Linked DNA regions of Stegostoma tigrinum. The protein of the gene in region 2 purifies or fractionates together with the protein of the main gene of each other region. This does not show direct contact. Links are inferred from orthologs where the notes say so. Each region holds a gene or a part of one and is shown on either strand. Other genes may lie near its edges. The genes, in order: tes, ctnna1 and cadherin-5-like.

Region 1 (10,572 bases), on a different chromosome or scaffold from region 2:
CCACCTCAAGCCGCACCTCCATTTCCTACCTACTAACCTCATCCCACCTCCTTGACCTGTCTGTCTTCCCTGGACTGACCTATCCCCTCCCTACCTCCCCACCTATACTCTCCCCTCTACCTATCTTCTTTTCTCTCCATCTTTGGTCCGCCTCCCCCTCTCTCCCTATTTATTCCAGAACGCTCTCTCCATCCCCCTCTCTGATGAAGGGTCTAGGCCCGAAACATCAGCTTTTGTGCTCCTGAGATGCTGCTTGGCCTCCTGTGTACATCCAGCTTCACACTTTATTATCTTGCTTTTCAGTGTAGATGAGGTATCACATGGGCAACATAAGTGAATCATTTTCCTGTGGTGCTCAGATTTTCTGAAGAAGGGCCAAGGCCCGAAACATCAGCTTTCCTGCTCCTAAGATGCTGCTTGGCCTGCTGCGTTCATGCAGCTCCACACCTTGTTACCTTGATTGTTGATCCTATAACTTGTTCTTGTACAGGATCATGACCATACATCCTGGAGCACTTCCAATCCCTTCTTGCAGAGATAGGGATTTCTTGCAGATTTCTGGGAAGTGAGTTTCCTGCACTTGGTAAGTTTAGGCAATATAGTACCATCTCCTGGAGCTACCCCCATCGTAAGTCAATCAATAGCTTTGCTAAGTTCTTCCATGTCAAACCCTCAGAGGAACTCTGAGGAGGCTTCACTCCCAGCCATATACAGTACTGCCATGTGGACACAACCAGTCATACATGAACCAAACTTCTAGCTCTGGGTGAATCGTCCTACTGCCTCATGAATACCTCAAGAGTGTTTGAGGTTATGGTAATAAATAATTTTTTAAAAATCTGGATTGGAGCACAAAGGCCACCTGATGTCTAACTGTTATCTTTCTGTCAAATCCTACAACCACTCATTGTGTCTTACTGTCCTTTGGACTCAATCAGGGAGGGTGAGAGAAGAACCCACATGCTTAGACTGAACAGAGTCTACGTAACTTATACCCAGGCTTGCACCCTTAAGAGGATGCTCCAGTTCTATTGCAGAGCAATTGCAAAATATGGGAAATAACAGTTACAAATAATAAGCCAACTGACCTACAGAATGGGTGCTATGTGTTCTCTCCATTGGTGGAAGGGACCGTGTATCTATTTGGCTGCCCAGCAATAATCTCAAGATTGGTAAGTTGCTGATCTGCCACAGTTCATCTGCCTTAATGAATGTTTGGAGGCAAAAGTCTGTGATGAACAAGTGGAGAGAGTTCATTGCTCCAGGAAAACAAACAATGCAATCTATCAGAAAGAAGAATGCCAGCTCTTCAATTAGCAAGCTGCAACATCAGAGCTAGGTGCACCAGTTTGACAGCTAACTTGCAACTGGTTGATAATGTATAGCGTATGCAAGACAGCTGTGCCAGACATGGGCTATGATAGGCTGATCATCTTATAGTGTTTGTACAAACAAACCCAGAAATTGCTAGAGAAACTCCACGCTTCAGCACCTTCTGATTTTATGTCAAGTCATCATCATCCGCAGTAGTTTGCTTTTATTTTAGCATCTCTACAAAGTTAGTTGATAGTAAGATAGAAACTGAAGCCCACAAGTTTTAAAATGGCAGTGCCTCCATGACCATAGAACAGTTCAGTTTTGAAATTTTCCATTGATTTTGGTTACAGCAAAGTCACAAATACAAACACAGGAGCAAAAACAAAGTTGCTGGAAAAGCGCAGCAAGTCTGGCAGCATCTGTGAAGAAACTTAGTTCTGAGGAAGGGTTACCGGATGCAAAACGTTAACTCTGATTTTTTTTCTTCACAGATGCTGCCAGACCTGCTGAGCTTTTCCAGCAATTTTGTTTGTGTCCCTGATTTACAGCATCTGAAGTTCTTTTGGTTTTTATTCATAAATACAAAAATTGAAACAGATTGATCATATAATTGTTTTAGCTAATACCCGAAAATGAAACCTCCTGGATGGACAGGTGCTAGCAGAGCTGTGTATCACTACTTTTTCTCAAAACTATGCTTTTGAGTGAAAATCAGTTACATGTATAGTATGTAACAGATATGCCAACATGCGTGTCTTGTCTGTGTTTTCCTATCTTGAATGATTTCGCTCACACTATATGATAAAGAATTTGAGGGCACTTCACTGAATATTATTTTCATCTGCACAACACATTGTTTTTAGATGGATGATGTTATCGATGATATAATCAGTTTGGAATCAAGCTGCTTCAATGAAGATTCTGTCAGCTGTATGGAACCATCTTCTCTCATACCAAACACAGTAAGTACTGTTAGAGGAAAGAGAAGTTTCTTTAAAACCCAACAGCTTGTGGGCAACTGGAGAAGAAATTGGGAAGCAGTAATGACCCAGCATTACGTCTATTCTGAATGTTTTGACCCTTCTTCTGTATAATTTAAAATGGCTGGAAATGTTTATTCTTACCATTCTCCATAATAGTTCTTTAACGGCTGTGGAGAAATTAATTCAAGGAATCACACAAGCTGAAGGAACAATTCTCATATTGTTCTTCAGTTTATTGTTTAGTGGGTAGGCCTGAACTATGTTTGTATTTTGCAATAGGTTTATTTGGTTTAAATATTCCAGAACTACATCACTGGTACTATATTATTGCAATATTGTCTAGGAGAAGACTAAAATCACTGTGATTCTTTGTGTGCTTCAAAGACTAGGATTTTGATAGCAACATCATTTCAACATCATTATCAAAACAGAACTTTTGCTTTTTCTCAATGTGAGAATATTGGCCTGGTTCTCTCTCAATGGGTGAAACTGAGACAGGTACATTTGAATTGTACTTGTAAGATGATATTTGGTTAAAATAACTTGGGAATATAGATGTGTTGTAGATGTCCATACAGCCCAAAGATGTCCTTGCTACCAGCAATCAGGAAGTATGACTGTGTGACAAAGCCAAAGTCCTCATTCTATTCTCAGTGATAGATGATGCAGATTTCAAGTTAATTTAATGGGGAGGATGGCAGGGCTCAGCTTACTTCCAGGATGGGGGTGGAGTTCTACCAATGGTGCAACAATCATGCAGATGTATTTATTATTGGACAAACTAAGTGTAGATTATGTTGTCATGGCACCCTTTATGCATTTCTCCATGGTGCCAGCATTTATTACAGGCTCAATTACATTTATAACCTCCTTATACTTTGTCATATCATTGTCATCTGAGGAGGCCTTGTACAAAACAAAGAATTGCAGATACTGGAAATCTGAAACAAAAACAAAAATTCCTGGAGAAATCCAGCAGGTCGGAGATTGAGAAAAGTTACTAGACCCAAAACATTAACTCCATGGATGCTGGCAGACCTGCTGAGTATCCCCAGTAATTTCTGGTTTTGCCTGTAAGAAATACAAATGTTCCTCATGCCCTGCTCCTTGCAATATCTCTGACTATATTGCAATGCCAGGTTGTGTAATGCACAGCAGACCACTACTATTAGTAACACCTTCAGATGTATATTCTGCAGAGCCCATCTAGACTAGTCAAGGCAGTAGTTATGTACTTTAAGAAATTAAATGGTGTACAGATGGAAAAATGAGCTGAATTGTTGCACTCCTCTGCTTCCCTCTGGTGAAGGCTGTCTGGTCTCTTCATCCATGTACACATGGAATAAGCCTTGTCATTGAAGATCCATCCATCTGAGGCTTCAAAATCCCTTGAATCTGAGTTGTGCACAATTATAGTAACCTGGGAAATGAGCATGGCTTGCAATACCCTTCTCCTGTGGCTTTATACTATTTGTGTATTTGTGTTATTAAACTTTTATAAGTTACAAATTCACCTGGATGTTCCCAAGGAATGTTTATTGGCCTCATGAGTGCAGTTATTGATAGCTGATATTAGCTGTCTCAGAGTTTGGCTATTGTCTTCTGCGATGTGGCTGATAAAACTATTGGGACAACTACATGGGACATCAATCAGCTTCTCTGTGTACCAATGTGTGGCAGCCTTTGAGATGTCAAAAGTATTTCCCATTGCTCCCTGAAAGCCACTGCTAGCATAGAAATTGAGCATTTCTATAACTTTGAGGGTCACTGGCATGGGGTTCCAACCAAATCCAAATGGCTACACTTCTTGATGACCAAGCCAACATATTTCCATGACCATTTCTAAGGGGACTCTTAGATATCTCAGACTTTGCCCCTCTGACATATGGACATAATTTGTTCTTGTCATCTGGATGTGATGTCATGCCAGTGCCCATCTTTGCTGATTCCTTCCCTGATGCCAGTATCTGGGCCAGCCTTCCCCACTGGAATTGCTCTTTTGAGGCCTCTTTTGTTGGACTACAAGAGCTCTCCGTCCTCACATTCTGTCCTTCAATTCCTGAGGCTGTAGGTATATTGCGTGAATGAAACCTGTAACTATGGCAGCAATTGCACTGTGTAAAGGGGGCAGATGTACATATGAGAGCATGCTTGTTCATGGTTCTCATCTAATTAATGCATTGTAGATCTTTTTAAAACAATCTGTTCAGAGATGTTAATGCAGGTAGGACTTCGATCCAGGCCTTTTAATGAATTATAAGCAATTCCCTTTAAATTGGTTTGTCATGTGCAGCATTCACTGCATTTTTCCAAAACAACTTTCCTCTCTTTTAAAATGATTGCTATATTTGGAAAAATATAAAATGATACATTAAAATTGTAGCACGTTTTACTTTCCAAATCTGACCTTGATCCATTTTCTGCCTGAGAAGTGAGTACAATAAATTCCAATGTTTACCATCATGTTTTTCAAATCGTAACAAATTGGTGGTTTTAAATTGTTCAATAAAATATAAAGTAAAATATAATTCCAAAAATCATGAAACCATTATTATTTCATCAGTTGCGATGAATGACACAGCAAATGAGCTGATCTTAGAATAATCACATGCAATAAAATATCGGTAAAATTTGTCTATTCAAGAGCCATAGTCGTCAAGATAGTTTTTTTTAGCTGATGTGTGAGTTCTTTGCAATCCTCTTCAAGTGTTCAAATTTGCACAATGTTGGTAAATTATTCCAAGCATTGATTTTTACAGGCATAGTTACCAATGGTACCTACCTTATTAAATGCAGCTTGAAATGAATATGTCCAGAAGGAAAGAGGCAACTTGCTGTTATCCATGGCAAAATCTGAAAAGTAAAATCTCTAATGTCCAACTGAGAATATTTCTTCTAAATATCAGACAGTGAAACACTGCTTTATTGATTTTTCACTTTGCTGTTTAACTTCTGTTGAAATATTTTCTTGCAAGCTAGTAAACATTAACAATTGTACAGTTTGACATAACATCAAAGAGCTGAACAACCTGCACTGAAAAAAGTTGCTCTTAATACATGTATGTCAGGCTAGTGTTAAAGTCCAACGAGTCAGAGTTCACTTGTTTATGTGAGTTGAATACTTGCTCAAATTTCTGCACACGTCGAAGCCCTGAGAAAAGAAGGAAATTAAAATGAAAGAGAAAAGTAAAACACTTGCTATTGTGGAGTTTATAGAATCACAAAATATAAAACTGGTAAGAAATCAGTTTTCCTATTGCTATTTGGGTTATACTTAGAATAGTCAGCAGAAGCTTGAAGTCTTCTTACTGAGAAAAATGCACAAAATTAAAATCTCTAATGGTGGTTGGGCACATTACCACAGAACAGAACCACTGTACTGAATACATAGTCCTAAAATGGTAACAGTGTCAACATTTTTGCAGCAGATATAAAACAATAGCTTTACTTATTCAGAGAACAGTACAAATTTACAACTTTCTTGGAGCTGTGTAGTTTTCTGTATTTCTGCTGCGATAGTCACAAACATTTGTTGATTATTTTCTGTAATCCTACTTAAACTACTTTGAAAATAAGTTTGCCATGAAGAGTATTATTGTCCTTTTAAAAATCAAATCAGAAAGCTTGATTATTGAATTACTAAAATAGAAAAGTTAACCCAGTGCATGGAAGTCCAAAAATGACAATGTAAAGTTTTTAGTCAATATGTAAAAGTCTTGCAGTTTTAAAAATGCGGTTTAGTTTTTTTTCTTGCCTCTTGTGAGGCCTTTCAACTTTCAAAGGTTATTAATAGATTATAAAGTAACCAAAGAACATTAGAGAACGTGTTAGTCCTTTTGTGATGTAATTACAGGCAGCAGTCTTTCAATTATTTTTATTCATTGATGGTAACATAGAATGACTAGGTAGTTATACTTTTTAAGTTCCCATTACTTTTAAAATTTTACAATGAAATCTTAAAGAATTAGCCAAAATGTTGCATTATTTTCCGTGTGGAATAGTAGTTCCTAGTACCGTAAATGTAACATTGTTTCTAGGAGAGATTAGCTTTCAAAGCTGATTTGTCAGGTTGTTATATTACTACAAATTAAACTTAATGTGGATTCTATTCGTACCCGATTTTCATGATTTGATTAGGTTACATGGAGTTAACTGCAAAGTTGAATGTTGAATGAAGTTTTACACTTCAGTGCAAAGTTCCTTTCTCGGCAAAAATTCCCTGATTAATGCTGGCCATGCTTTCTGAAAATGGTGAAATAGTATCAGTAACTACTTAATGTGGAAATAATGAACAACCATTGCAAAATTTCTAGGGCGGTTTCAAAAATTAAAGGTAAACATTCAAAGCTGTGTATATCAAATATATGAGAAGAACTACAAAGGTAAAGTTTAAATAATATCACTTCACTTTATAGCAGAAAGCAGAAACATTCTCTCATGTGTTCAGCCAATATTTATCACTCAACTAACTATAGAAACAAAGATTTTTCAGTTATTACTTTATTGCTGTTTGTGGGAGAATGTGCAATTTTTTCAATATAACAGTACCTGCCTTTCAAAAGTTAACTTCAGTCCTTCAGTTCTGCAGAAGTTTAAGTTCTTGTGTGTGACTTCAAGTGAAAGAAATTAGTTTAAAGGAACTTGATTCCATTTTTTTTGCTGATGTGAAGTCTGTTCGTACCAATTCTACATTAACCTTTCAACCTTATCTCACTGGTAATACTCCCAACTCTGAGTCAGAGGCTTGGGACAGAAGATCCAGTCTAGAGGTTTGACTAGATGGGTTGGTATTGCAGAGTTACACATTTATTTCTCAAATAAAACCAATAATAGATTAAAACCTGCCTCATGAGTTCTAAACTTCAAGAATATCTCATTGTGCATGAAGCACTTTGGAATATCCTAAGGCTGTGTAGGTACAATTTTAAGACAGGATTTTAAGTCTCTCTTTTTGTATGACTGTCCTGTTTGAACAGGATTTATACAGTGAAACTTCCTTGATCACTATCCACTATCTTTGCAGATATGTCATTTGTATCCAAAGAGTCTAGCCAACAGGACCTTGACAGAGATAATGGGAACTGCAGATGCTGGAGATTCCAAGACAACAAAATGTGAGGCTGGATGAACACAGCAGGCCAAGCAGCATCTCAGGAGCACAAAAGCCGACGCCTCGGGCCTAGACCCTTCATCCAGCCTCACATTTTGTTGTCTAGGACCTTGACAGCTTTTAGTTTCATTGTTTTTCTAGCACTTTTTTGTTTCCTGAGTGTCTTTGTTTTTGGTTCCTCTGCCCATTTTGCCCACTCTTTTATATGATTCTAGGATCACTTCTTGTGTCTTCTACTATGATGATGGATAAGAAATACTTGAATCAAGTCTCTGCCATTTCCTTGCTTCCTGTTATTAATTCCCCAATCTCACCCCCTTCAAAATAAATGGTCACTGTTGCTATGGTTTTAGTTTTTAATATTTCTTGCTAGTTTGCTTATATACTTCAATGACTCTCTTTTTTAACTCATTCTGTTCTGGTTTTTAGCATTTATCCAATTTTCTGGCCTACCAGTAATCCTTGTAGCGTGGTAAAACTTTTCTTTCAATTTAATACCAACCTCAACTTGCTTATATCATCACAGAGGGTGTATTCTTTTCAAAGAATTTCTTTCTCAATGGAATATATTTTTATTGAGAGTTTTATTGAGAGAATATACCTAAAATGTCTGCCAATGCTTCTCTACTGTTTTATCTTTAAACTTATTTGCTTACTCTAATGTTTTCAACTCTGTCTTCATATCCTTATAGTTGCTTTCAAGTAAATTTGTGACACCAGTTGCAGAACCAGAAAATAAAATTCTATTTTGTTATGGTCACTCTTACCTACAGGTACCTTTATTTTGATGTGATTTATTAATTATGTCTCATTACACACTAGCAGGTCTAAAATGTGGAGCTGGAAGAACTCTGCAGGCCAGGCCGCATCAGAGGAGCAGGAAAGTTGACATTTTGGGTCTCTGAAAAAGGGTCTCAACCTGAAACAGCAACTTTCCTGCTCCTCTGATGCTGCTTGGCCTGCTGTGTTCCTCTAGCTCCACACTATTATCCCTGACTCCAGCATCTGCAGTTCCTGCCATCGCCAGGTCTAAAATAGTCTGTTTCTTGATTGGTTCAAGAGTGCACTGTTTCGAGAAACTACCCATAATATAGGAAATGAATTTGTCTTCCAGGTTACCTTTACCAGTTTGATTTGCCTAATCTAAATGAGATTAAAATATCCCCCAATTATTGCAATACATTTATTACGAACTTCCATTGTTTCTTGATTTATAATTTCTTAAATATTGGGACTGTTAGGTAATCTATGAACTATGCCAGCCAATGACTGTCTCTTTCCCCCTTTGCGATTTCTTAGCTTCAACCAAACCTATTATATATTTTGGTCCTCTGTGAAAGGGTTAGGTTCATTTTTCAGAGACCCTCGTGGACTTGATGCAAGAGCAAGACACTGACCTGTTTACAAAAACACAATCCTTTATTATTTAGCAAGTACAAGCTGCAGAGGATTGCTCTACGTAACCGGGCACAGAGTGCTGAGTATCATGAGCGATTCTCCCCAAACAGGGGACAGTCCCCGCTTTTATACCCTTGGAATTGCCAGACACATAAAACAAGTACTACGTCTGAGGACAGGGTACAGCTTTGATCATCACGCAGTGTATGATAACAACAGGATGCGATTTCATGTGGTGACAACTGCCTGGCTTGATCAAAGGTGACTGACCTGGCCATTTCAGCAGAAACAGGGGTAGGCAGCAGTGTGGGTAGAGTCACAAAGATTACATAGCTTAATGTTTTTTGTGTTTACATATGTTTCACACCCAATCCTATTCAGGCAGAAAGTTGAGACAGTGTTCACATACCCCTATATGAGGAGAGAAGGACCATAAAAATTCATGGGATGTTAACCCATTAGCATCTCATTCCCTACTTTTATCATTCCATGATAACCTATATCAGGGCTGAGAAGGGAGCTACTAGTCTGTCAGTCATAATTCTGGAACAAGGGTTCAGGCATACCTGGAACACGCAGCAAATAATTACGACAATAAGACAACCAATCTATACAGTAGGTATAAGCATCAAGAACTACCCAGAAGCTATCCCAACCATCCTTCCCCAGGTCGGGGTCCTTCTCTGTACTGGTCCAACTGACCCTGTATGTCTTCATAGCTTGAGTAATATTATAGGATTCATCGGTAACATGGGTAATGCATTTATCCCCTATAATCGTACATACTCCTCCTTTTTGAGCCAGCTGATAGTACACTGCATACAGGGTTTGCTGAGCATAGGGCCGAAGTTCGGCTAATTCTCGATTTACTGCTTCCAATGCCAACATCATGCCATTTCCCAGGATGGCGAGTCCTCACATAACATAGTTTTGGTTTTTAGTGGACACCATCCCTGAGGCTACTCCTAAAGTGACAGTTCCTAGGAAACCATATCCCAAGGGGGAGCCCAGGGTTACTGGATCCTGCCACTTAGTGCAAAACTCCTTGCTTATGGGGCATGTGACAATTCATCGCCAAGCACGTGCTCACTGAGGACAAGGGACTGTAAGAGGCCCAAGGTCCCAACAGCAAACCGCACCGGTAATGTTGGAGTAGCAGTAGAAAAGGTCCCATTGAGAAGCACGGTAGCAGATAACGGACTCACGTACTATCTTGTAACTATTCCAGGAGGATTGACCCTTAAATGGTTGGAAGCCTGAGGAGTGAAACGGAAATATCCCATACCCCATTTCTACATGGGCGCCATTACAACTCCCACAAGTCCACTGTATACCTGAAGTCACATTTACTGGGCTTGATACCAAACAGGTGCAGTTCAATAGCCCTCCTTTAGTTGTAAAGTTCGTTTTACACACTGATGAGGCCGGGAAGCATCATGGGGATGGTTGGTGACGTTTACTAAGGCATATAAACAACAGCATCCAGTACCATTAAAACAAAGCGGATAGCTGGTTGGATCCGTACAGTTGGCCCCTTCCTTCCCAGGCTTAGGTTTAGTACCTGTACATTTGGAGGAGCTGTTAACAATCAATTCCATACATCGACCCTGCACACCCCTCGTCCAAGTTCCTCCCTACCCTTGGCAAGGCTCACCAGACTAATCTACTTCATAGAGTTGGTGAGGGTTCCATCCTGAGGTTGCTACAAATAAAGCTTCTACAGACTGTGCTAGCAGATAACACACTGATTACCATACAGTTGGT
Region 2 (10,099 bases):
GCCTTCACTCAAAACATTGTGCATCTTTGGAATGGTCCATCTCAGAGGGCTTGGCTGATCAGTTGCTGACTGTATTTAAGGTGAGGAATAATGGATGCTTGGAATAGGAATGGAATCATGGACAATGGTGACAGGGTAGACAAGCAGAGTTGATGTCAAAGATCAGTGTCATCTTTTTGAATGGCAAAGTAAATTTTAAAGGAGCCTTTTGGCCCTCACCTGTTTCTATTCCTCATTTTCTAATGTAAAATAACATCATCCACTATTCCCTGTTATGACAACATCCTTTGCTCCTGCACCAATTTTAAATCTTGTCAAAAAAAATTTGTTTATTCCAAAATTTTGTGTTAAATCAAAACAATTTTGAAAGGGTCCTGAGTTAAAAGATATTGAAACTTATAGACGTATTGTCTATTCAAAAAAAAATTGTGGCTAGGCTGAGATTTTTTTCACTGGAGTGCAGGAGGTTGGGAGGTAACTTTATAAAAGTATATAAAGTCAGAAGGCATATAGATAGGGTTAATGTTAGGTGTCTTATCCCTAAGATGAGGCATTTCAAGATTAGGGGGCACATTTTTAAGGTAAGAAGAGAAAGATTTAAAAAAAGATAGAAGGTGCAACTTTTTTAAGAGGGTGGTTTGCATTGGAACTAACTGCCAGAGGATGCAGTGGATGAGGTGCAGTTACAACATTTAAAAGACATTTGGATAAGTACATGAATAGGAAAGATTTGAAGGGATATGGGCTAAACACAGGCAAGTGGGATTAGTTTGGTTTGGGAACATGGTCAGTGCAGATTAGTTGGAACAAGGGTCTGTTTCCACGCTGTATGACTCTGTGAATTGCCACTAAAGTAATAGCTGCTTTTAACTTATAACTTTGATAATTGGACATGTATTTCTTTGTAGGGAGAAAGCAGATATACTTAACAAGTGAAGCTGCAAGTTTCAAACTTCTTGTTTGTGAATTAAATACTGAATCAATAGTAAAGCTCATCCGTTCAAAGCTGTTAACCAATATGACATTGAATGTTACTTATATAATAAAAATGAATCTTTTTTCTGGGCTTTCATATTTTAGAACCTACTATGAGGACAATATTTACCAGTGTCTTGTAAATGTTATGCCTTGCTATTCTTAGAGCTGACAAGTGCTTTTCAATTATAATTGCACACAGCCTCTTCAAAATTCTCGGATTGCCTGGGAGTTGAGCCAAACAAGGCCAGCAATGTCAGCAGTGACATGCCATCCATTCCTGGCCTTCCACAAAATCTGTTGTGGGCTGCTCCTTCAGTCCAGAAAACTTCTTAATGAAAATGCATAGGGTATTTAAAGGCTGACTTACCAAAGCCACGTCTGAAATGAATTATGCGCTGTGCTGGCATTGTCACCTGTAAGAATGTAAGTATTGAGCAGCATACGTAAACCAGAAAGGAAATTTGCTAGGTAAATAAAGTACAATGATTTCTCATTGATTTTACTAAATACAGGAAGTACACTTCGAGCTTCTAGGGAGTCAACAGCACTAGCAGTGTTCTATTTCACTGTTCATTTTGACCAGTTGCAATCTTGCCTTTTCTTTCACCTTTCATGTAATGCTAATAGCCTTTGCTATTACTTTTCCTGAACAACATTTACAATAAATCCAGGATTCTCAGAAAGTGAGTGAACTCATTCATTCCACTGCATTTAGTTCTGTACTGTGCAGCTAGTATGCCTTGAAACTGGCTCCACGGTAGATCCCAACATTTCATCTGTTTGTTTAAATAAATAAAGTAAATTTACGTAAATTTGTTTGTAGAATAACTTGTAGAAACAAGCAGATATTAATAAATTTTTAAGATGTCCACAGTTCTCTGAGAACCACTTATAATAACCTGTACACTGAACTAGCCATGACCGTTTAATAACGTAGAGTGATGTTAGAAGTAAGACTTGTGGCAGCTAAGTGGAGTCTTCAAAAAAGTTTCTTTTTTTAAAATTCATTTATGAGATGTGGGCTTTCCTGGCTGGCCAGCATTTCTTTCCCATCCCTAGTTGCCCTTGAGAAGGTGGTAGTGAGCTGGCTTCTTGAGCCGCAGCAGTCCACCAGCTGTAGGTCGACCCTCAGCAGGCAATTTGGAAGGGAAATCCAGGGTTTTGACCCAGCAACAGTGAAGGAATGGCGATACATTTCCAACTCAGGATGCAGAGTGGTTTGGAGGTGAGCTTGGAGGCGGTGCTGTTTCTATGTGTCTGCTGCCTTTGTCTTCTAGATGGAAGTGGTCTTGTCATTTCTGTTTTGGATGTGCAGGGGTCTGTGTATGGGGTCCAATTCTATATGTTTGCTGATTGAAGTATGGATGGAGCACCATGCCTCTAGGAATTCCTGTGTGCGTCTATGTTTGGCTTGGGCTACTATGGTTACTTTATCCCAGTTAAACTGATGGCCTTCATTGTCTGAATGTACAATTATTAGAGAGAGCTCTTCGTGTGTTTTGCTGTTAACTGATGCTTATGTGTTCTGATGGCAAGATTCCTTCCTGACCATCCGAGGTAATGTTTGTGGCAGTCGTTGCATGGTATTTTTGTAAACCACGTTCATTTTGTATGTTGTAGGAATGTGGTCTTTAATCCTTGTAAGTGCTTGTCATACAGTGGCTGTGGGCTTGTGGGCCACCATGATTCAGAGTGGTCTTAGGAGTCTTGTTGTCAGTTTCAAAATGTTCTTGATGTAGGGCAGTGTGGTCAGTGTGTTAGGTTGTATGGTGTCTTACTGTTGTTGTCTGTTTTGTTGGCAGCAACCTACAACAGTCCACATCAGGACAAATTGCCTTCATTCTATTTTGTATGATTATCTTAAAGTTAATTATGTTACACTTAGAAAGGAATAAAACCCCCAACACTACCCCACAGTCCTACGGCACATTCTGCTGTAACCGGTGAAGGTGCAACACCTGCCTATTTACCTCCAGTTTCCAAGGGCCCAAACATACCTTCCAGGTGAAGCAACACTTCACCCGCACTTCCCAGATTCTAGTTGACTGCATTCGCTACTCACAATGTGGTCTCCTCTACATTGGGAAAACGAAGCATAGAATTGGTGACCACTTCGCAGAACATCTACGTTCTGATCGCAAAAAAGATCCTGAACTACTTGTTGCCTGCCACTTTGATGCACCACCCTGCTACCTGGCCAACATCTGTGTCTCTGGCTTGCTGCAGTGTTCCAGTGAAGCCCAACACAAGCTGGAGGAACAACACCTTATTTTCTGTTTGGGGACCCTCCAGACTCAATATTGAGTTCAATAATTTTATGGCCTAAACTCTCCCATGTCCCAGCCCATCACCCCACACACCAGGTCTTGTTACCACATAGCCTGTCATTACACACCTGCTATTGTTCGTCACTAACAGTCCCCATTAACAGCTGTTCACCCTCCCAGTTTGATCGTTAGCAACTCCTTTGTCTGTCCAACTATCTTTCTCTCTCTTTGGGCCCTATCATATCATTTACTCCCTACTTTCTGCATATAAACTGCCATTTTCCCAGCCACCATCGGTTCTGAGGAAGTGTCACAGTTAACTCTGTTCTCTCCTTCACAGATGCTACCAGACCTGCTGAGTTTTTCCAGCAACTTTGTTTTTGTTCCTGATTTACAGCATCCACAGTTCTTCTGTTTTTTTTTTAAATTTTGAAGTCTCATCCTTCACAATGGACTCCAAAATCTTACCCACAACCAACATTAGGCAAATCAGCCTATAAATTTCAGTTTTTCACCTTACTCCCCTTTTAAACTGGCTGTCACGTTTGTGATTTTCCAGTCATCTGGGACCCTCCCTGACTCTTGTGATTCCTGAAAGATCACCACAAATGCCTCCACTGTCTCTTCAACTATCACCTTAAGACCTCTGGTGTAGTCCATCTGGTCCAGTTGGTTTATCCGCCTTCAGGTCATTCAGTTTCTTCTAGCACCTTCTCCTTGGTGACGGCCACCATACTCAGCTCTGTCCACTGACACTATTGAATTTTTGGGATATTACTTGTCTTCCACTATGAAGACTGACACAAAGTAATTATTCAGTTCCTCAGATAACAAAGTGTAGAGCTAGATGAACACAGCAGGCCAAGCAGCATCTCAAAAGCACAAAAGCTGACGTTTCGGGCCTAGACCCTTCATCAGAGAGATGAAGGGTCTAGGCCCGAAACATCAGCTTTTGTGTTCCTGAGATGCTACTTGGCCTGCTGTGTTCATCCAGTTCCACACTTTGTTATCTTGGATTCTCTTGTATCTGCAGTTCCCATTATCACTATTCAGTTCCTCAGCCTTGATCCCCACTACTATCTCTCCAGCATCATTTTCAGTGGTTCAATTTCTAATTTTGCCTTTTATAATATCTAAATAAACTCTTACAGTCCTCCTTATATTACTGGCTAGCTTACCCTCATATTTAATCTTCTCCCTCTTCATTTTTTTGTTAATTTTCTGTTGGTCTTTGGTTTTCCATTTCTCTCACCACATGATATGCCTTCGCTTTTGCTTTTATGCTATCCCTGACTTCCCTAGTCAGCCTTTGTTGCCTCACCCACCCTGTTTCTTTTTATTCGGGATGAATTTTTGCTGTATCCTGAATTACTCTTAGAAAATCCTGCCTTGCTGTTCCACTGTCTTTCCTGTTCAACTCCTCTCCCAATCAACTCTGCCCAGCTCTTCCCTCATGCTTCTGCAGTTGCCTTTATTTACCTAGGTCTCAGAGTTTTGAGATCAGTTTGGAGGGGATAATGGTGTTGAAGGCAGAGCTGTAGTCGATGAGCCGGAGTCTAACGTAAGTGTCCTTGTTGTCCAGATGTTCCAGGGATGAGTGCAGGGCTAGGGAGATGGCATCTGTTGTGAACCTGTTATGTCAGGAGGCAAATTGCAGGGAATCATGGCAGGCTGGGGAAACTAGAGTTGATGTGGGCCATGACCAGCCTCTCAAAGCACTTCATGATTACGGAGGTCAGAGCCCCTCGGTGATAGTCATTAATGCTTGCTTTGACCAAGGAATAGTGAAAGAATTGCAAATATATGTCCAAGCACTGATAGCATGAGACTTGGTGGGGAACTTGCAGGGAGTAGGAATCTTGGGGTATGTGCCTAACCTTAGGTGAGTTAGGAGGTCCTGTCAAAATCAGCAGACCAGTTTGCTTCGGCCCCTTTTGGTACATAGAAAGTGCTGGAGAAACTCAGCAAGTTTGGCAGCATCTGTGAAAACAGAAACAACCTTATGAAGACATGGCTCTTTAGAACAGATTTACAACATTCTCAGTACTTTCCTTTTATTTGGTCTTTAAAATGTTTTCTTAGAAATAAAGCAACCTGCCATCAAACATGACTTACATGAAGAAAATGAAACACTTTCACAAGACAAATTGGCGATGGTGATTAATTTATGCGCTGAACTTCCCACCTGCTCTCAAAGACGGCACGAAAGACCGACTTTATAAAGTGTCTAAGAATTACTGTAAAACGTTCATTACATTTTTCCCTCACCCTATGGGTTCACACCTGATATCATGACACAAACAGCTTCTTGTTGCTGCTCCCTCTGGGTGTGGCACTGAGGCCATTTCCAACTTTTGTTACCCTCCCACCGGCATTGGCCAACTCTACATAATTTCCCCTTCAGGTCAGAGCACGGTTCTTTCCAAATTACATTTTTGTTTGTTTAATTTAGTGAGTCTTTATTCTTATTTGGGGACTTTTTTTCCTCTCCGCGCACTTTTCACGTTTGCTTCTGGTGCGGGCCGCGCAGGGGGCGTGTGGCCACTTCCTTGGAAGCGCTTCTCACCCTCCCCCTCCTCTAGGCTGGTTTGGTTTCGGTGACTCACTAGGTTGGGATTCATTCAGGTTTGAAGTATTGTGTCTTTGCCAGAGGGAAAGAAGCAGCCAGAAAATAAAGGAAACAAACGGAATCACGACTTTTTCTTGGAGAAAAACAACTGTTTGGAGAACTGATTGAAAACAGCGATTTAAACCAAGTGAGTAGCGGAAGGAAAATACTTTTGTTAACAAAAACAAATAAACGTAACTTTTAAGAAATAATGGAGTTTCAGTGAAAACTCACGGTTTCAGTTGTTGGTGGTGGCCGTTAGAAAAGTTCCGTTTCGAACTCCGGCGAAGTTTAAATGGCCGCTCGAGCCCGGTGTTGATGCTGGGCTTCACTCTTTCTCAGCCAGGATTTCCGCGGTTGCGGTTAGAGGCACAGATTTGCCTTTTCTTTAAACAAAAAAGTATAATGTGTGTGTACCACACTGTTTTATTTCTCAGTCTTTGCGTTCGTTTGGACTCTTCGCCGCCCATTTTAGGCCTCATCCTCTTCCTGGATTTGTGGACGGGAGAGGGAGAGGGCCCGGCACCGCCCCATGAGCTGTTGTACATATTTCAGGACAGTACGACTCGGTACAGAGTCTGGGTGCACAGTCCCACTCGTTAAGGGTTTTATGTGCTGTTTCCCAAAGTTATTTTTCCTTCCATCCAAATGAGTTCTAAATGTGACTTATTGCTTTTTCCTTTTAAATTATTGTAGATGGGATTTCAGACGCCACCTCAGACTACGTATTCCTTCCCCCAAATGTTAATCTCAGTACGTTGTAATTTTGAAATAATTATAGAATGTCTCAGTAACTGGGCAGCGGGTATGTGAACAATGCTGCGAAAGTATGTTGTGAAGCTTTTAAACGTTGCTTCTTTCTAGTTTTGACAGTAATTTGTTAATACAGCTCCTTTTAACATGATCAAAATATATTAAGATTATTTGTGCGTTAATAAAGCAACATTAGACATCGAGCCATGTGAATACGAAAGGTCAAAACCTTTTGTCGAAGAGAGGATTGTAAGTGGGTATCTTGGGGTAAGTAGCCCTGGTAGCTATATGCACGGCCAGTGATGGGGGAGTGATTAAAATCAAGGATGCTGAACAAGTCGCACTTGGGAGGAGTGTATTTTTGTGGGCAGTTGGGCTGGTGGAGATTAGAGGTGGAATCTGAGGAGAGCATGAAAAAGTTTGAGACTAAGGGTGAAAATTTCAAAATTAAAATATTCTTGACTCTTAGTCAGGCAAAGTCCACGAGGAACAAGGTGATAACTGGGCTTGATCCAAGTAAGGACACATACACCTGAACTTCAAGTGAAGAAACATTTTTGACGTGTAAAACGTGGGAAACTAACCTGGTGTGTGGTGAAGGGTAGAGTTTTGGGGTATGGGGTATGGGTACCTAAAGATGTGGTTGCTAATTGAAGAAAGGTTGATTCAAATTGGGATCGCAGAATTGGAGAAGCACAGGTATCTTATGTTAAGTTGTGTAGAGCCAAAAGAAAATAGAGATGGGGAGGAATAAGGTATGGAGATATCTGACACAATCTCTTGAAAACTGCCAAAGTTTGATTTTGATTTTTATTGTTGTCACGTGTGCTGGAATACAGTGAAAAGCTTTATTTGCAGGCAATACAAGTAGATCCCTACACTGGCCCTAAACCCTACCTCTTCCTCCGTTACAGTGATGACTGTATCGGTGCCGCCTCGTGCTCCCACGAGGAGCTCGTACAGTTCATCCACTTCAACACCTTCCACCCCAACCTCAAGTTCACCTGGACTATCTCTAACACCTCCCTCGCCCTCCTGGACCTCCGTCTCCATCTCAGGCAACCACCTAGAAACTGATATCTATTTCAAAGCCACCGACTCACACAGCTGCCGAGAATACACTTCCTCCCACCCACCTTCCTGCAAAAATGCCATCCCCTATTCCCAGTGATAATGGGAACTGCAGATGCTGGAGAATCCAAGGTAATAAAGTATGAAGCTGGATGAACACAGCAGGCCAAGCAGCATCTCAGGAGCACAAAAGCTGACGTTTCGGGGGTCTAGGCCCGAAACGTCAGCTTTTGTGCTCCTGAGATGCTGCTTGGCCTGCTGTGTTCATCCAGCTTCACATTTTATTATCCCCTATTCCCAATTCTTTTGCCTCTGCCGCGTCTGCTCCCAGGATGAGGCATTCCACTCCCTTGCATCTCAGATGTCCTCGTTTTTCAAGGACTGTACCCCCCCCACCCCCGACAGTGGTCGAGAACGGCCTCAACCGTATTGCCTGCAACTCATCCCTCACACCCCGTCCCCGCAATAACCATCAAAAGAGAATCCCCCTCGTCCTCAGTTACCACTCCACCAACCTCCGGATCCAACGCACTGTCCTGTGACACTTCCACCATCTTCAATCTGATCCCACCACCAAAGACATTTTTCCCTCCCCTCCCTTGTCTGCTCTGTGGAGGGACCACTCTCTCTGTGACTCCCTTGTCCGCTCCATACTCCCTCCAACCCCACAACAGCTGGCACTCTCCCCTGCACCCACAGGAAGTACTACACCTGTCCCCATACCTCCTCCCACACCCCCATCCCAGGCCCCAAGAGGGCCTAAGATAATGAAGTGTGGAGCTGGATGAACACAGCAGGACAAGCAGCATCTCGGGAGCACAAAAGCTGACGTTTCGGGCCTAGACCCTTCATCAGAGAGGCCTGTTCACCTGCACACCTGCCAATGTGGTATACTGCATCTGCTGTCCCTGTTGTACCCCCCTCTACATTGGGAAACCAAGTGGAGGCTTGGTGACTGCTTTGCTGAACACCTACGCTCGGTTTGCAATAAACATCTGCACCTCCCAGTTGTGAACCATCTTGCCCCCTCACATTCCTTAGACAACATGTCCATCCTGGGCCTCCTGCAGTGCCACAACGATGCCATCCGAAGGTTGCAGGAACAGCAACTCATATTCCACTTGGGAACCCTGCAGCCCAATAGTATCAATGTGGATTTCACAAGCTTCAAAATCTCCCCTCCCCCTACTGCATCCCAAAACCAACCCAGTTCATCACCGCCTCCCTAACCTGTTCCTCCTCTCATCTGTCCCCTCCTCCGACCTCAAACCGTACCTCCATTTCCTTCCTACTAACCTCATCCCGCTCCCTTGACTTGTCCGTCCGTCCTCCCCAACTGACCTATCCCCTCCCCACCTACACTCACCCCTACTGGCTCCATCCCCGCCTCTTTAACTTGTCTGTCTCCTCTCCACCTATCTTCTCCTAACCATCTTCGATCCACCTTCCCCCTCTCTCTCCCTATTTATTTCGGAACCCTCTTCCCCCCTCCCCTTTTTCTGATAAAGGATATAGGCCTGAAATGTCAGCTTTTGTGCTCCGAAGATGCTGCTTGGCCTGCTGTGTTCATCCAGCTCTACACTTTGTTATCTCAGATTCTCCTGCATCTGCAGTTCCCATTTTCTCTGATACAGATCATGGGGCACTCAGACAAAATGAAGCATACAGATTACACTGCACAGAAAGTGTGAGAAGCAAGATCAACAGTATTTGAAGTTAGCGTCCATCCTTCAGTCTGCTAACAGCAGTAAAGAAGCGGTTCTTGTAATGTGATGTGATAATGGGAACTGCAGATGCTGGAGAATTCAAGATAATAAAATGTGAGGCTGGATGAACACAGCAGGCCCAGCAGCATCTCAGGAGCACAAAAGCTGACATTTCGGGCCTAGACCCTTCATCAGAGCAGGGTTCTAGGCCCGAAACATCAGCTTTTGTGCTCCTGAGATGCTGCTGGGCCTGCTGTGTTCATCCAGCCTCACGTTTTATTATCTTGGGTTCTTGTAATGTAAAGTCTTAACTATCCATACAACCGTAACTGTGATGTTAATTACAAATCTGTTTAAAATCTGATTGTTTCACTCCTTATTGCGTGTTAAAATGTACTCTTCAGAGTCTTACAAAACCATTTGAATAGAGTTTTCATAAAATTTTCATGGTTTTCCTTGGTTATTTTGATGAATTTCAGGCTTACACGAGCTGGTGTCCAAATTTATTGTTAAAGCTGAATATTCTGAAATGTAATCTTTTCTGTCAAGTCTTCATCTACATTTTCAATTCAGTTCATTGTAGATTAACTTAATAATTTACTTGAATATATTTTTCAGTGGACTGCAGTCATTTCATGAGTCTTTGAGTAGTTGCAGTTTTGTGACTTTTCTTCAGAAATTGACTTATTTTACTGAAGTCACTTTTACCATTTTAC
Region 3 (10,109 bases), on a different chromosome or scaffold from region 2:
TAAATAATCCTAATCTATTCAACCTCTCTTCATCGCTAGCACACTCCATACCAGGCAACATCCTGGTGAACCTCCTCTGCACCCTCCCCAAAGCATCCACATCCTTTTGGTAATGTGGCGACCAGAACTGTACTCAGTATTCCAAATGTGGTCGAACCAAAGTCCTATACAAGAGTCGACAAAGTAGGAGCAGTATGAACCTGGGTTATGATTAGACAGCCTGAGCTGTAGGGTTGCAATTCAGGCTGGATTTGACTGACAAATGGCATTTTCCCTGACTGCAGAGTAAAGATTTAATTTCCCAATAAACTTCATTTGTAGTTTTTCAAAGAAATACTCACAGAGTTGTGGGCATTGCTGGCTAGCCCAGCATTAATTATCCATACAATGAGAAGGTGGGGGGTGAGCTGCCTTCTTGAACTGCTGCAGTCCATGTGCTGTGGGTAGACCCACGCCCATGAGGGAGAATATTCCAGGATTATGACCCAGCGACAGTGGAAGGATTGCATTAGAGGTCGACATTACGGTGTGTTTGGTTGGTGTGTTAGTGGTGTTCCTTTGTAGTGGCTGGCCTTGTCCGTTCAGATGGTCGAAGGTGATGTCAATTGTGAATTTCTGCAGTGCACCTTGTGGATGATACACACTACTGTTCCTGAACATTGGTGGTGGCAAGAGTAGATGCTGAAGGTGATGGTGTCAGTGCTAATCAGAGGGGAAACTTTGTCTTGGATAGTGTTGTTGGAGCTGCAATTGTCCAGGTAGTATTCCATCACTCTCCTGACTTGTGCCTTGCAGATGATGAACAGGGTTTGGGGACTTGGGAGGTGAGTTATTCAATGCAAGATTCCTAGAATTTCCCATACAGTTATAGTAAATTACATTATAGAGGACTCTGAAGCAAGATGGACTGTTTAGATCTTAAGCTAAGACCATCACTTCCTTTTTATTTGCCAGATGTGGACATTTCTGTGAGAATTCAACATGAAAGAACAGATCCTCAGAATCAGAGTCAAATACTTTTGGAAGAAATTCAGAAGAGGCCTTTCTCTCATGGAGTTTTCAAGCAAATTGAGATAGTGTAGGGAGATGGGCTTAGATTAGTTCACAGTTCGGCGCAACATCGAGGGCCGAAGGGCCTGTTCCGCGCTGTATTGTTCTATGTTCTATGTTCTAATTTGTTGCTTTCTGTCCACCAATGTGGCATGCTGGGATATGAGGAATGGCCACAGGAGTTGGGATTGATTTCCACTGGCTGGTCCTGGCCTGGGCCACTGGTCCCATTCCCCTTGGCTCCAAGGAAACTCCTCTCCCACCACCCCCAACAGCCCCAAGCCCCGGTAAGTTGCACCCTCTTATAGCACTCCTGACCCAGGCCCCGGACCTGACCTGTCCTGTGAGGGGACGTGGTGACGTGGACGGTGAGAACCTGGTGTAAAAAAAAGAGGCTTCCTCGAGAGACACTCACTGTGTGACACCTTAGCATGGTTTGGACTGGCATGTCCCTGCATTCCTCCTCTCAGTGTCAACATCGAGAGAGTGGGAGGGACATCGCCTTCAGTGGCTAATAATTTACAACTTGAGGCCTAGACTAGGGTGGGCCATCTTGAACTTCACCCACAAAATATCCAGTTAGGCCAGTGTCAGGTAGACAGGCTCTCTGGGGAGTTTTGTGACTTCCCCACCATCACCTACAACTGGGCTAATGGGGTTTATATTTCTGCCCCTGGGTTGGGACTCAAGCACAAAGCCACTTGAGTGGGAAACAGGATGGTTACTCACTTTATCAGTTACACCTCCCTGTGCAGTCTGCTCACCGAGCATCCTGTTTTAATCAGCAATTTATATTGATTGCTCCCCTCCTGTTTCTCGAGTTCTGACTTGCTTCCCACCTACAGAATCCCTTAAGCTAGCTTTTAGAAGTCACAAGGTAGGGTCACATTGAAGACAAAAGAACACGTGTCCCCAGACTGTGAGATTATGAATCCACCGTAACTTTCCGAATGTAAAAGCAAATGAGTTAGAGTTTCAGCTGCTGTGCTTCTTTCTGTGATGTGATGCTGTTTTAATTCCTGCTTATACAATGTATAGTCCTGCATTAATCATGTAGTGCTCCAATTCTGTTTGGATTTGTCTCTCACGCTTTTTCAAAGATACTCTGTTCTGGGCAGAACCATAGCTTCACCCAGCACTGAATGAGGCCATTCAGCCAAATCGCTACTACTCTTTTGAGGAGCTGAATGTTCCGTGTTCTTTTGCCCACAGACACCGATTTCTTCCCTTTCCAAATATTAGCCCAAATCCATTTTGAATGTTACTGCTGGATTTATGGCACCATTTTAGGCAGTACACGTACAGATGCAACGCATTAAAAAAAATTCTTGACTCTTCTCATGGAGACAAGCGAATCAGAGAACTTTCAGGACTACTGGTGAATTCAGGTAAAATAAAGAGCTCCCTGGCAATACCAGTGTGGTCATAATGGGCTGAATGGCCTGCTCTGATCAACGAGCTTCATTCCATTCCTAATATCACTGTGGGTGCCCTTATATCTCAATGCAACGGTTCACCATCACTTTCTCCAGGATAGTAAAGGATGGAAAACAAATGCTGGCCTAGCCAGGGATGCTTGCATCCCATGCATAAATCATAGAATTGCTACTGTGCTGAAGGAGGCCATTCAGTCCATTGTCCTGTGCCGGTTCTATTCCATGGTGCTTTCCTCTTGCATTTTCCTTAGACCCCTGCACGGCATTTCTATCCAAATAACCCGCTGGAATGCCGAAATAAATAAATAAACATACTCCCAGATATTCTAATTCACTTGAAGATTATGATGGAATCTGGTCCCAATATTATCTTTAGCAGCTCGTCCCAGACCACAATGATCCACAGACTAAAAAATTAGCTGCTACACCTGCTTCTTTTGCAAAACGCTGTTGAATTTCTGTTGACTCCACATCGAGTGTTCTGCCAGAGGAAGTGTTGATTCTGTTTGTTACAATCAGTCAAACCCCTTGGGTATCAGGCTTTGCTACTTGAAGGTTTTACATCATGCTTGCATCAAACTGGATCAGACTTGAACAGTAGTTTGCAATAGATCACTCAGACATGGGAAAAGCAGAAAGAATAACACCAGCTTCAACCACAAGCAATTCTTAGGGGATTTAACAAAGTAAGATGTCCCAAGGTGCACCCTCCCTCTCAAGAAGGTCAGGAAAGTGACGTCCTTTCATTGAACCACAGAATCCCTACATTGTGGAAGCAGGTCATGCAGCCCATTGAGACCACACAGACCCTCTAAACAGCATCCCACCCAGACCCACCTGATCCTATCCCAATAGCCCTGCATTTGCCATTGCTAATCCCCCTAGCATACACATCCCTGGGAACAATGGGTAAATTAGCATGCCAGGTCCATCAAATCTGCAATTCTTTGCGACTGTGGGAAGTAACCGGAGCACCCGAAGGAATCCCACACAGACGTGGGGAGAATGTGCAAACTCCACACTATCACTTGAGGTTGGAATTGAACCCAGGTCCCTGGCATGGTGAGGCAGCAGTGCTAACCACTGAGCCACCATGCCAACTCTCTGTGGTGAGCATGGCTCTCAGCACCTACCTAAATGATCTGATTATAGTTCGTCCGTTTCCCAGGACTACAAGGGGTTAAATACAGAGTAAATCTCCCTCAACACTGTCCTAATGAACATGCTCAGTACAGGGACAGCATGGGGTTAGATACAGAGTAAATCACCCTCTACACTGTCCTCTATCAAAAACTCTCAGGACAGGGGACTGCACAGGGTTAGATACAGAGTAAAGTTCCCTCTACACTGTCCTCATCAAACACTCACAGAACAGGAACAGCACAGGAATAGATACAGAGTAAAACTCTCTCTTCGCTAATCTATCAAACACTTCTGGAACAGGGGACAGCATGAGGTTAGATAGTAAAGCTCCCTCTACATTGGCCCCAATCAAATACTCCCAGACCAGGGACAGCACAGGGTTAGATACAGAATAAAGTTCCCTCTACACTCTCCCCTTCAATAACTCTGAGGACAGGGGACAGCATGGGGTTAGCTACAGGGTAAATCTCCCTCTACGCTGATACCCCATCAAACACTCCCAGGGCAGGAACAGCATGGGCTTAGATACAGAGTAAAGTTCCCTCTATACTCTCCCCCTCAAACAGTCTCAGGACAGGGAACAGCACAGGATTAGATACAGAGTAAAGTTTCCCCTATACTCTCCCCAACATACGCTCTAGGACAGGAGGCAGAATGGGGCTAGATACAGAGTAAAACTTTTTCTACACTGTCCCCATCAAAAGCTCCCAGGACAGGAACAGCACAGGGTTAGATACCAGTAAAGTTCCTTCTTCAGTGTTCCAGGTCAGCTACCACATTTTTTACCTCGTACAATTTTGATTCTCAGCCGTGGAAATACTTGAAATCACTGTCACTCTGCCATAACTCACTGACAGTTCCAGTTGTTGATAACTGTACCGCCCCTCCAATTACTTACTGAATCAAATTCACTCACCACTTTTCAAATTACGCCAGTCCCCTGCAGTCCTGTTTACATCCAAAAGTAAGGAATATTCAGAGACACACGGATATAGCGCAGATTATAATGCTAGCTTGCAGAGTTGACTTGTCTGGTTGTGATGTTCAGTGTGTTGTCCCAGCCTTCCAGAGCGAATTGTTCCTCAGTTCCTACTCCTGGGACCCAGCCTGTTTGCCATTCAGTCATTTCCTGACATTGTCCAACACTTTTGTGATATCAGGGCTGAGGGCTGAGAGTGTCGGAAACCAGATAAATTGAACATAATTATCCCAAAGTAGCTACTTGCTTTTCAGAGACATAAATGGTGATTAAATAATTGCGTTGTATGACATGTAATGGATTTTGGGAATTGCCTGCAGTGTGAACTGGTCGCACAGTGGGCGTACTTAATCCAATTCAAATAAATGATCACTCTCATCGGTTTACTTCATACATTTTCAGTTTCTCTTTTAAACAGAAAAAGGGCTCACTGAAGTGGACAAAGTGGGAGCAAGCTTAATTTCAAAGGAAGCACGTTCTTCACCCTCACCAGTTAGACCCCTTTGACCTGTAGCAATGTCCCTAAATTCGAACCAGTAATTGTCCCCAAGTGAATCCCTGATACCTACAGCATTCTGCTTTGAAACAAAATGATCTGAAATGAAAACAGAGATAGGAGCAGCTCTTTTATGAATTAAAAAAAAATGTTGTTGAGGACATTATCTGGTTAAAATAAAGTTGAATAGTATTGACTTAAGAATGAGCAACAGTGTAATCTCGAAAGGGAAAATTGACCCAATGAACCTGGATATTTTTTGATAAATTAACCCTAATTTCTAGTCCTATCCACCCTGTTCCAAAAACATGTACAATTGTCTCTTGAACCCTTTTAACAGTCTCGTTCAATGACCCTCGCTGATAATTTAGTCCATAACCTCATTATCCTTTCATATCTCCCATCTTGACTTCCCTTCTTACTTCTCACTTCCTTATTTTATTTTTCATCATGTCCTGGACAGTTCAATGCACCACTGCACACAGCAATTTGTATCCACTAAATGTTTCGTTCATTTTTGTACTCTTCATGGAGACATGGGCCATTTCTTGCCTATTGCTTTATTGTATTTGAGAAGATGCTGGTGTGTTTTCCCCTTATGCATAGCACTGTACCAAGAAGGTGCTGTCAAGGCGCTGCTAGGTACTGGTTTCCAGGTGAATGAACTGCTCTGAAGGTACAGCCAATATAAGGAGTTCAGGTCTGAGTTTTTGTGAACAAAATGCTGCAGATGCAGGAAATCTGAAACAAATATAGAGAAGGCTGGAGAAACTCAGAACCCTGGCAGCATCCTTGGAAGAGAAACGTAGTTAACGTTTTGGGCCTGGTATGACTCCTCTTTGGAAGTTCTGGGCTCTGAAAAAGTCATAGCTTTAATTCTGCTTTCTCTCCACATATGCAGCCAAACCTGGCGAGTTTCTCCAGCATTCTCTGTATGTGTTTGAGCTTGACGTAGAGATTTGGAGCAAACAGCTTCAATGTCAATACACCTACAGCCCAGAGATAGTTCAGACTGGATTCTCAATACGCACCAGCTGCAGTAATAGCTGGAAGCACAAAATAAAGCAGGAAGCTTGGAGGTGGAGCTGTTCTCAAGGGATTGTTGGCCTTGTCTTTGTAGCTGATGGAAGATGTGTGTTCTTACTGTGCAGGAAGCCTTGGGAAATAGCAGCAGCTGCAGTGATGGAGAGAGTGCCTGTTTAAGATGATGGATTTCAACAATGTGACACAATTGTTATTAAAAATACAGAGTGGACAATAGGACTGAGCTCCTGTTGATGAAGTAGTGTTACACTCGTGCTGGCTCAGCTGAAAGGAATCTGAAATTGTGAATTGGCAATAATTCCAAAAGCAACATGGATGTTGCAACTGACGTTCATGTCCCCCTGGGGCGCCTTGCATAATCAGGAGTTCATATCTGCTCAGGTCAGGATCAGTTCCTGGAACAGACAGCTGAAGAGAGAGGATGTCAGTGTGAACTTCTACCACTTAGCCGGGAGTTTAATGAAAATACAGAGATCGTTACATTCAGCTGAAAGAAAGAGAACTTTACCGCACTCCTCAACAGCTTGTTGAATGAGATCACTTTGAGCCAAACAGAATGAAGGGGTCCCAAGTGCAACATCTCAGTCTCCCGGGGTCAGAATGGGGTTGTCCAGCCCGGGTTCTCTCAGAAGTTTGTGGGCATAATTCCCACCCCAGGGATTTCAGCATGCTATCTGGTCCGGACCTTGCTGTATCAGTGAAGAAACGTGAGAAATCGGAGCAGGAACAGTCCAGGAGGGAGTGCTGCGCTGTTGGATTTGCATGGGGCATTAAACCTGAGGCCCCCTTGGCAAGCAATGGCAATGTGCTTTTGTGATGAAGGAGCTTCCTCTTGCAGGAATTTAGAAACATCTTAAAAAAGGAAAAGTAGAGAATGGGAGAGGTTAAATGATGGAATTCCAGACCGAGTTAATGGATACCACTGATGGTATGATGACAAATGTGTGGTGCTCAAGAGGCCAAGATTGGAGGAGAAAGGAATATCTTGGGGTGGTGCTGTCTGGGGAGATCACAGCGATAAGGGTGGGGAGGTGGGGATAGATATGGACCAAAAGCAGGTTTGAAAATTTAAAACTGCTGGATCAGGAGCTGATATATGTCAGCAAGCGCAGACTTCAGTCAAATGGTACTCACTGAGGACCTTTCCTTAAAAATTCCACACACGCCCAATCTTCTTCAAAAGGTCCTAATCTTCTCAGTCTCTAATTGGTCCATTTATTTTAAGTACATCCCTCCCTTCCATGTCTTGTTGTAGATCTAATTCTGAGATGCTTCTGTTTTCACAAATGAGGACATGAATAACGCACCAGAAATCATGGGGAACACAGGGTTTGGTGAGAGGGAGGGACTGAAGCAAATCTGTATTAGTAGAGAAATGGTGTGGGAGAAATTGATGAGACTTAGGGCTGATAAGTCCCCAGTGCCTTTTAATCTACATCCCAGACTACTTAAGCCAATGGCACGAGCTATAACGGATACATTGGTTGTCATCTGGCAAGATTCTTTTGACTCTTGTACAGTTCCTATTGATTGGAGATTATTTAACATAACGACACTATTTAAAAAGAGAGGTGCAGAGAATTATGGACAAGTGAGCCTGACATTGGTAGTGGGGAAGATATTGCAGAACATTATCAGGGTTTTATAGCAGAGCGCTTAGAAAGCAGTGGTGGAATCAGACACAGTCAGCAGAGAATCACAAAAGGGAAAGCAGGCTTGACAAATCTACTGGAACTATTTGAGGATGTAACCAGTAGGGTTGATCAGTGGGAGCCAGTGAATGTAGTTCATTTGGACTTTCAGAAAGCTTTTGGCAATGTCCCACATGAGAGATTATTGTGTAAAATTAAAGCTCATGGAATTGGGGGCAGTGTGATGAGATGGATAGAAAATTGGTTAGTAGACAGGAAGCAAAGAATAGGAATAAGTAGGTCTTTTTTGAGTGGCAGGCAGTGATTAGTGAGGTACCACAGGGATCAGTACCAGAGATCTGGCTATTCACAACATATGTTAATGTTTCAGATGAGGGTGCGAAATGCAAAACTCCAAGTTTGCAGATGACACGAAGCTGGTTGGGAGGGTGAGCTGTGATGAGGATGCAGGGATGTTGCAGTGTGATTTTGATAGGCTGAGTGAGTGGGCAAATGCATTGTAGAAGCACCATCAGGTGGATAAATGTGAGGTTATTCACTCTGAGAGCTAAACTAGGAGGGCAGATTATTATTCGAATGGCTGTAAATTGTAAGAGGCAAATGTTAAATGAGACCTGGGTCCCTGTGCACCACCCGCTGGAAGTAAACACATAGGAGCAGCAGGTGATAAAGAATGTAGACTGTATCAATAAATGTGGAGCTGGAAAGACACAGCAGGTCAGGTAACATCCCAGAAGCAGGGAAGTCAATGTTTTGGGCCAAAACCCTTTGTCAGGACATGGGAGGGGGAGGGGAACCAGAAATAGATAGAGGGAGGTGGGTGGGGACAGAGCAAAAGCAGGTGAGACAGAGATAGGTGGATACATGTAGGGGGTTATTGTGGGTGGTCAGCTGGAAGGGTAGTGCAGGACCATGAGTCAGAAGATGTACAGGGTTGTGGGAGGAGAGATTTTGAAGCTGGTGAAGTTAATACTCAAGGCTGTAAGATCCCAACGTGAAATATCAAGTGTTGCTCCTCCAGTTTATGTTTGGCTTCACTCTGACAGTGGAGGAGGCCAGGGACGGACATGTCACCAGCGTAGTGGGGAGGGGATGTTAAAGTGGATAGCAACTGGAAGGTCGGGTTGGTTGGTGTGTGTGGCAATGTTGCTGACCACATGACAGCCAGTGACCAAGTCATTATTTCTACTTCCACCCATGTGACCCTTCCTGTACACACACCCACTCCACCAGCTGCAGTCTCCCAGCTCCCAGCTTAACACTCAGCCCTGTCCCCAGGGCCCTGCTGGGTATTCATCATTCCCCTCCCTGAGACTTCCCGCTCAGTGAGGCTGAATGGTCAGTCCTCTGCAAACGGCTCACCTTCATTCCCCTGTGCCCACATGTGAATAACTAATAGATGTCGAGCTGTTTATCCATTGCCTCTCCCTCCGCGCCTGTTTCTTTGAACAGGAATCCAACCCACCCTCTGATGACACCTTCTTCCACCTCCAGCAAGCTCCATCCTCCTACATACCCTCTGCCGGCCTCCTACCCTCCCTGAACCTCTTCCTCTCCAACTGCTGCCATGACATCAATTGCTTGGACCTCTCCACGCCTCTCACTCACTCCGACCTCTCACCATTGGAAAACACGGCCCTCTGCTCCCAACACTCCAACCCCAACCTCACCACTGAAACCACCCACAAGGGCAGGGGGTGGGCACAGAGATAGTACAGCAAACTGACCCCTACATTGCTGAGGCCAAATGCCAACTCTCTGACACCTCCTCCTCCTACTGTTCCCTCGATCATGATGCCACCTCTGATCATCAAGGCACAGCCTCCAACCTGATAGTTCACCAACCCTGCACTGTCCATTTCTATCTCCTCCCTAATATCCATAAACGTAACTGCCCCATCGACCCATTGTCTCTGTTTGCTCCTGCCTCACCGAGCCTATCGCCTCCTACCACGATTCTGTTCTTTCCCCTTTGGTCCAGGAACTCCCCACCTACATTTGGGACACAATCCACACCCTCCACCTTTTCCAAAACTTTCAATTCTCAACCCCCAATGCCTCATCTTCACCATGGACATTCAGCCCCTGTACACCGGTATTCCACACAACAATGGCCTAAAAACACTTTGCTTCTTCCTCTCCCATAAGCACACCCACTCCCCCTCCATGACACTCTCAATCACTTGGTGGAACTGGTTCTCACTCTCAACAATTTTTCCTTTGATTCCTCCCACTTCCAACAAACCAAAGGGGTGGCTCTGGGCAACTGCATGGGCCCAAGCTTGGCCTGCCTCTTCGTAGGATTCATG

Evidence for each region.
Region 1: the proteins of ctnna1 (region 2) and tes purify together in Homo sapiens (affinity purification with mass spectrometry; 3 studies listed by BioGRID and IntAct, with this or other methods). This does not show direct contact. The link is inferred for Stegostoma tigrinum from reciprocal best matches to the Homo sapiens genes CTNNA1 and TES.
Region 3: the proteins of ctnna1 (region 2) and cadherin-5-like purify together in Homo sapiens (affinity purification with western blotting; 4 studies listed by BioGRID and IntAct, counting the BioPlex papers as one, with this or other methods). This does not show direct contact. The link is inferred for Stegostoma tigrinum from reciprocal best matches to the Homo sapiens genes CTNNA1 and CDH5.

The regions. Positions count from the first base shown.
Region 1 is NC_081371.1:33,794,562-33,805,133, reverse strand, and holds the start of tes (testin), read right to left. Parts: upstream 5,237-10,572; 5' UTR 5,146-5,236; coding exon 5,083-5,145; intron 2,280-5,082; coding exon of another isoform or gene 2,181-2,279; intron 1-2,180. Other genes in the region: transcription factor EC, read left to right, coding at 2,181-2,279. UniProt on the Homo sapiens protein: Scaffold protein that may play a role in cell adhesion, cell spreading and in the reorganization of the actin cytoskeleton. Plays a role in the regulation of cell proliferation. May act as a tumor suppressor. Inhibits tumor cell growth.
Region 2 is NC_081366.1:57,466,659-57,476,757, forward strand, and holds the start of ctnna1 (catenin alpha-1), read left to right. Parts: upstream 1-5,673; 5' UTR 5,674-6,001; intron 6,002-10,099. UniProt on the Homo sapiens protein: Associates with the cytoplasmic domain of a variety of cadherins. The association of catenins to cadherins produces a complex which is linked to the actin filament network, and which seems to be of primary importance for cadherins cell-adhesion properties.
Region 3 is NC_081369.1:63,175,197-63,185,305, reverse strand, and holds the start of cadherin-5-like, read right to left. Parts: upstream 4,710-10,109; 5' UTR 4,546-4,709; intron 1-4,545. UniProt on the Homo sapiens protein: Cadherins are calcium-dependent cell adhesion proteins. They preferentially interact with themselves in a homophilic manner in connecting cells; cadherins may thus contribute to the sorting of heterogeneous cell types.